Ovis aries: one gene and its partner. The protein of the gene in region 1 purifies or fractionates together with the protein of each later gene. This does not show direct contact. Links are inferred from orthologs where the notes say so. Each region holds a gene or a part of one and is shown in the gene's direction. Other genes may lie near its edges. The genes, in order: DCAF10 and CUL4A.

Evidence for each region.
Region 2: the proteins of DCAF10 (region 1) and CUL4A purify together in Homo sapiens (affinity purification with mass spectrometry; 4 studies listed by BioGRID and IntAct, with this or other methods). This does not show direct contact. The link is inferred for Ovis aries from reciprocal best matches to the Homo sapiens genes DCAF10 and CUL4A.

The regions. Positions count from the first base shown.
Region 1 is NC_056055.1:50,919,454-50,923,267, reverse strand, and holds part of DCAF10 (DDB1- and CUL4-associated factor 10), read left to right. Parts: intron 1-976; coding exon 977-1,174; intron 1,175-3,814. UniProt on the Homo sapiens protein: May function as a substrate receptor for CUL4-DDB1 E3 ubiquitin-protein ligase complex.
Region 2 is NC_056063.1:85,903,889-85,907,702, forward strand, and holds part of CUL4A (cullin-4A), read left to right. Parts: intron 1-537; coding exon 538-651; intron 652-1,047; coding exon 1,048-1,326; intron 1,327-3,177; coding exon 3,178-3,330; intron 3,331-3,814. UniProt on the Homo sapiens protein: Core component of multiple cullin-RING-based E3 ubiquitin-protein ligase complexes which mediate the ubiquitination of target proteins. As a scaffold protein may contribute to catalysis through positioning of the substrate and the ubiquitin-conjugating enzyme.

The DNA.
Region 1 (3,814 bases):
TGTGCCATGTGGCTTTCAGGATCTTAGTTCCCCATCCAGGGATGGAACCTGGCCCTCAGCAGTGAAAGCAGAGTTCTAACTACTGGGTCATTAGGGAATTCCCTGTGCGGACTTTTAAAATTACTGAGTGAATTTATTACTGATAATTGATCTGTTCGTATTTTGTTTCTTCCTGGTTTAATCTTGGTTCAAGACAGTACCTTTTTAAGAATTTTTCCATTTCTTCTTCGTTGTCCTAGAAGCAAGATTATTTGGGGAATGCCTTTGAGTTAATTGGGCTTTCCTGGTGGCTCAATTGGTAAAGAATCTGTCTGCAATGCAGGACCCAGGTTTGATCCCTGGGTCGGGAAGATCCCCTGGAGAAGGGAGTGACAACCCTCTCCAGTATTCTTGCCTGGAGAATTTCATGGACTGAGGATCCTGTGGGCTGTAGTCCATGAGGTCACAAAGAATAGGACACAACTGAGTGACTAAACACTTTCACTTTCACTTTGAATTGATTAAAAATTTTGTATATGTAAATATATTTTAAAGAGAAATGTACACTAAATAGAAATTGATGTTATTTGTAGCAAAGTAAATATTTGTCATAATTTTGAATGCTTTATGCTTAATGTGTTTCACCTGCAGTTAAGTATTCAAAATCTCCTTTGTCTCCTATTGTCTGTTACCATTTGTGTTTCCTATACAGATTCTAAAATTCGTTTTCTCTGGCATTGTTCTCTAAACACCTACCTCTATTTCTGGTTTTCAATAAAATAATTTAACACAAGTAGATAAAATTACAACATGGTCCTCATTAACTCCTAGTATCCTCTGGTTATGTAAAGTATACTTACTACTATTATATATTAGAATCACTGGGTTTGTACAGTAAGTTTGTAGTCCTTTTTTGGTTTGTTTTCTTGATTAGGTAACATAGCAGTTTTTTTTAATAAGAGATTAAATAAACCAGTTTTTCTTTTCTGCTTTGTAGATTTCTTGATAACCGGCTGTTTGCCACCTGTTCTGATGACACTACAATAGCCTTTTGGGATCTGAGAAAACTGAACACGAAAGTATGCACTTTACATGGTCACACTAGCTGGGTGAAGAACATCGAGTATGATACTAATACAAGACTCTTAGTAACATCAGGATTTGATGGAAATGTCATTATTTGGGACACCAACAGGTTTGTGAACAGGAGACTATGTTAGGATTATGAACAACAAAAAAATGTTTTTAAAATGGTAAAAAAAAAAAAACCTCGGTGTTCTGTCTTAGCTCTCATGTTTCTTTAGAAGAAAGAAACTGGCTTTGGGAAAAACAATCAGAAAGTGATTCTGTCTTTAGTTCCTTGCACTTAGTCATATATCGTGACTAAAACACTTGGAGAAAATTATGTAGAAAAAAGACCAAATACTTGGTACTTGAGACCAAGTACCAGATACTTAACCAAGACCAAGTTAATGATGAAAACTGGTTTATAAGATGAGTTTCCTGAATTTAAGGAAAAATTATTTTGTTTTTTCCTTGTGGAACTGAAATGTTTTCCTTTGATCCTTCAAATCTATTTTGTAAATTTTGAAGCTTGTTTTCATGCATTAAAAGAGTAGTTTCTCAGAGTGGTACTGATGTTAGGGGAATGTTTAGAAATAATGTGTAGTGCAGTTTTAGTTGTCACTACAGGAGAAGAGAAGAGGATTTCTACTCACATTTAGTCAGTAGAGATCAGAGTTTGTAAACATCCTGCAGTGCATGGGATAGTTTGCACAGTGGACCAGTCATCCCATCTAAACTGTCACTAATATCTGTGTTGTGAAACACTTCAATAGAATATCTCCTGATAGAGAACTGAAAGAGTTGAATTTTGGGAAATAATTATAAGTTTCTGAAATATTCCTTAGAGCTCATATGTAAAACTAGGGGAATATTCTTAAAGATTTCTAGTTATGCATAGTGTTTGAGCCAAGCATAGAGCTACTGATTATCTTTAAGACAGCCTCTTGTTTAAACTTAGAACTAATTATTTTTTTAATTTAGAAGATTTTAATGTTATTAATAACCTTGACTTAGTTGGCAGATGTAGAATTCTGCTGCCAAATAGTGAGTACACCCTCTGAAGCAGAGTTTGAACATGTACAAAAATTGAGTGTGTTCTGGACTACAAAGTAAGTCTCAACCAGTATCAAAGAATTGTTATCGTACAAATCTTTTCTCTGATCTCAGTATAGTTTAATTAACTACAGGTAAATTAAAATTCCAAGGTTTGGAGACTTATAAACTTACATCCTAAATAATTGATGGATCAAAGAAAAAAATCATAGTGAAGTCAAAAGATAGACTAAAAATTAATGAACTAAGCATCTTACTCAAAAAACTTGAAAAAGATAAAAAAGTAAATCTGATGAAAGTAGATATATAGAAATGATTAAGATAAAAGCAGAAATTAATGAAATAGAAAATGAAAGTACAATAAAGATTTTTTTTAAAAGCTTGTTCTTCTCTGGTAAGATACATTAAGGAAAAAAGAGAGATGACACAATCCTAACAATAAGAGACAATAAAAAATACAATATAAAGTAAAATAATAAGGTCACATTTATGCCAATATACTTGAAAACTTTGATGAAACTGACAGATTACCCCAAAAAATACACCTTTGCAAAAGTGATCAAGGAAGAAATAGAAAACCGTAAATAGACATTACCAGGATATTTAACCATTATGCACTGGTTTAGCTGAAAAGGTTGTTAAAAGATTGAATTTCTTCCAAATAACTAATAGATAGTTACTGTCATGAATCATCCTCAGGTGTCATATCCTAGCACCTCTGGGTACCCACGAACCTCTCTGGAGATACCTTCCTCAAGGTCTCTCTTTATGATCTAGTAGCCGAAGTCGCTCTTACATAGGAAACTAACTGCAGGATCCAGTTCCAGCACTGAAACTCTGGAACTCAGGATCCAATTCCAGCATCAACTCTGGCTAGTTTTCATGCAGGGTTGGTTATTTAAATATTCTAAACATCACCTCTGCTTTAACCGTTAGAGAAATGAAAAAAAAAGTCAATTAAGACATAGCTACTAATTAAACAGCAGCATGTCAGTTTTACAGGTGTCTTCTACCAAATATTACAAGAAACAGAACATTCCAATTTTATTAAACTGTCCAGATTGCAGAAAAATGGAATTCTCCTTACCTTAGGTATGAAGCTGGTATGACCTTGATGCTTGAATTCAAAATGAAAGTTCAGTCTGTAATATGAATGTAGATGTGAATATTCCAAAAAAAAAAAAGAGAGATCCTGTAAGAAATTAATCAAAATAATCATGACCACTTTGGGTTTATTCTAGAAATGAAAAGATGATTTATCAGTAGAAATTCTGTTAGTATAATTTATCCCATTAACAGATTAAATAGATAAATCCTTATTCATCCTTTATGAATGATAAAATTCATCATTCATAATTAAAAGGGACATCATTACCAACCTTACAGAAATTAAAAGGATTAAAAAGGAATACATGCTTAGTCACTCAGTTGTAGCCTACTCTTTGTGACCCTTTGGATTGTAGCCCACCAGGCTCTTCTGTCCATGGGATTTTCCCAGCAAGAATACTAGAGTGCATTGCCATTTCCTCCTCCAGGGGATCTTCCCAACTCAGGGACTGAACCCATGACTCCAGTGTCTCCTGCACTGTAGGTGGATTCTTCACCCACTTAGACATCAGGGAAGTCCCACAAAAGAACACAATGAACAACTTTATGGCGACAAATTAGACAACTTCGATAAACAAATACCGCAGAATCACAAATTATTTAAACTAAC
Region 2 (3,814 bases), on another chromosome or scaffold:
CACACGCGTGCCGGCGCTGCAGGACTGGCCGGGCGTGGAGGGATGGCAGGAACAGGCCAGAGTCCCAGGGCCTTCCCTGGGAGAGGAGGAGTGCAGCGAGGGTCGTCCCAGCTTGCGCAGCCGGGCAAGAGCACGGGCTCTGACCAGGCGGACCACCGGCGCTCCTGGGCTCAGAGGCTGCAGGGGGCCGAGGAAGCCTGCGGGGCTCGGGAGCGGGGGCAGCGAGGGTCGTCCCAGCTTGCGCAGCCGGGCAAGAGCACGGGCTCTGACCAGGCGGACCACCGGCGCTCCTGGGCTCAGAGGCTGCAGGGGGCCGAGGAAGCCTGCGGGGCTCGGGAGCGGGGGCAGGCCCCACCGCCCCTGGCAGGAGCTGTTGGAATGGTGGCAGCACGGGGCTGCGCGCTGGTGGGCCGCCGTCAGGACACGGAGCAGGCCGCATTCGGCCCAGCGGTGGCTTAGGAACTCGGACGCTGAGCCGCTGGCAGTGTCAGAGTGAGCGTGCGCAGCACAGTCACGCTCGCCCTCCTCCGCTGACAGATGATCAAGCTGCAGGAGGTGTTCAAGACGTTCTATCTGGGCAAGCACAGCGGCCGGAAGCTGCAGTGGCAGACGACGCTGGGCCACGCGGTGCTGAAGGCCGAGTTCAAGGAGGCAAGTCCTGCGCCTGCCGCTTTGCTCGTTTTTGAAGCACGTTTATGAAAAGAATGTTTTTAAGTTGCCGTTAGACTTTGGTAGCTAAGAAAGAAAGGAAGGGATTATTCAATATAACTCAACACGGGCTTTTCGAAGTCAGTAAAATGCAGTGGTCGAAGGGCTAATGTTTTAATCAATAAAATTAATGATGTATTCTCACCTGATGTCTAGTTAGGAGTGTCTCAGCACACCCGCACACAGGCCCCTCAGGGTGTCTCCTCTCCTGCTGACTAGTCAGTACCGTCTCCACCTCCCCTCTGCTGACTAGTCAGCACCGTCTCGGCACACCCGCACACAGGCTCGCCCGGTGTCCGCGGGCTGGCAGACCCACTTGTGTGGCTCCTGCTCTTTCAGGGGAAGAAGGAGTTCCAGGTGTCCCTGTTCCAGACGCTGGTGCTGCTCATGTTCAACGAAGGGGACGGCTTCAGCTTCGAGGACATCAGGCTGGCCACGGGCATCGAGGACAGTGAGCTGCGGAGGACGCTGCAGTCCCTGGCCTGCGGCAAAGCACGCGTCCTCCTCAAGAGCCCCAAAGGGAAGGAAGTGGAGGACGGAGACAAGTTCCTGTTCAATGCAGAGTTCAAGCACAAGCTCTTTCGCATCAAGATCAACCAGATTCAGATGAAGGAAACAGTATGTATCCGCTTCCTCCGCTTTCCCCGCTCACGGGACCGTAGGTCTATAGGAACTTCTCGACGCTCATTACACATTTGTGTCTGTGAGATGCTTTAGCGGAGCTGTTACTACTTTTATACTCGAGAGTGAAATTCAGAAGGGCACGCGTCTAACAGTTAACTTCCTGTGTACACAAACATGTCCTATTGAGGTCTTTGTAGCCCACCTTCTGTCCACGTAGGGAGCACCTCATTCCAAACCTGGTGACCTGTCCTAACAGCTGTGCCCACCCCCCGCCATTGTCTCAGCCTCGCTGCTGGGCTCCATGTTCAGGCTGAGTGTCTGTGCCTTTGATCAGGCTCCCTAGGGCCACGGGTCCAGGACGGCTCCAGGCCACTGTCCTCAAGCACCCTGCCGCAGGCGCCCTTGCCCCTCAGGGCTGTAGTCCAGCAGACGGGCACTGTGGCCTCGTCAGGAAGCCGCTCCGTCCAGAGGGAGTGCCAGCTCTGACTGCACGGGCCTCACAGCTGCTCCCACAGCTGCAGGCGGCCAGGGGTGCTGCCCCCCGGGTGCTCCGTGCTGCCCAGTGAGGAGGACGTTCAGAGCACATGGAGCGAAGCGTTCTTCGTGTCTTATTTTTGGGCGCTGTTTGGGCTGGTGTGGAGATTCTGTGGGTGACTTGAGACGCCTGTCACGGGGTGCCCTCAGCCTTGCTCCAGCTTCCTCACGACTGAGCTACGCGGAAGGCCGAGGGGGTGGTGGGTGCTCGGGCCATCCTTCCTCGGCGGCCTGCCTGTCACCTCCGTGCTCCACAGCTGGGCTCTCCTGGAGTTGGCAGCTTTTTCCTCCGCTGCACACGCGTAAACTTTTCTTCTTGGGATCGTGCCCTGTGGCGTTTACACACACAGTTTTTAAGCTGGGCCTCTTCCCAGGTCAGGACTTGGATTTTACATGTGCAGAGTAGCACGTTGTGTGACTTGAACCCAAGAGCGTGGAGCCCCTGCACAGAGCCTGGCGGTGCCTCAGGCCTGGCCTCTTCGGCTGCGGTGCCCTGCCCAGCTGCACTCACGCTCTCGGCTCCTGGCTTGGCTGTCTCGAGTCTCAGCTCCTCACCCTGGACTCGCCGGGTCAGAGGACATGAGCTTTGCTGACATGAGCGCGCGCCAGACTCAGCGCTTCCCCGGTCCTGCCCCTGCTCTTCCGTGGGTCACTGCTGGCGCTTTCTCGTCCTTTTAAGTAGCTGCTCGGTCTCGAGTCCCTGGCACGTTGCAACATCCCACCCCTGACTCGTAGGGAGTGCCCTGTCACGTCGCGGGGCCTGGTGGCGGGCGGCTCTGTCGCTCCGAGAGGGTCCTTCCCACGTGAGTAGGTTCTGTTCCTCTGCAGTTTCTGACCTGAGGGTCAGCTTAAGGAAGACCTTCCTCTGACCCACAGTTTAAAGAGCATTTTCTGCTGCTGCTCCAGTAGTCTGTATGTTCCAGCTTTCCCCTGAAACATTTCTCTGAGCAGCTAGAAGTTATCTTAGCATCAAGAAAGCACTCCAGCCACCCTCCCTGTTTTAAAATGTGAGTGGGCTCTCTCACAACCCACTAAGCTGTCACTTTTGTTAGAAATCCGGGTCACGTGTTCCCGGGCAGTGTCTCGTTCCTGTTTTTAAGTTCTGTTTCAAAGCCAGCACCCAAAGCATTTTAATTGGTGTCACGATTCCTGTAAATTCACTGATGTTGTTGCTGAAGTTCAGTGGTTTCACTGGACAAAGCCGCAGAACAGAACAGGGGCCCCTGCAGTCTGGCCTGCCTTCCGCCCGGAGCTCAGCAGCCCCCACAGAGGCGGCGCCGGCGCTGACCGGCGGCGGGCCCTCTCCCGCAGGTGGAGGAGCAGGTCAGCACCACGGAGCGCGTGTTCCAGGACCGGCAGTACCAGATCGACGCTGCCATCGTCAGGGTCATGAAGATGAGGAAGACGCTAGGCCACAACCTGCTCGTCTCTGAGCTGTACAACCAGCTCAAGTTCCCAGTCAAGGTAGGCGGGCGTCAGCTTGTCCAGTCGCTGCGGTTGCACACCCTTGGCCCTCTGGAGTCGGCCGTCTGTCCTGCACTGCCGCTGGCCACTAGCCGCAGGGACCTCCCTCTGCGTGCGGAGAGAGAGCAGCGCCCTCCCCTCTGCCCGCCGAGGCCCCGGCCCAGGTGCTCTGCCTTGGGAGTGTCCCCAGTGCCAGTGTCTGAGGGCTCCCGGCGGGCGTCCGGGAGGTTCTCTGTGACTGTGGTGTCAGGCTCAGGTGGATGGGCGCTGGACGGGCCGGCGGGGCGTGTGTTCCCCCAGGTTCCACAGGCCCAGGGCGAGTGGGAGGGGCTGGGGCCCCCTGCCCAGGAGACCCGGACGTTCTGCAGAGGCTGCAGGGCGAGGCCTGCAGCTGTCGGGGCAGAGCACTGCACCCTGAGGGCTGGGCCTCCCCTTCTTGCAGGGGGACAGCGTGCACCAGGGTGAGTGTGGTGTCCCCCAGTGA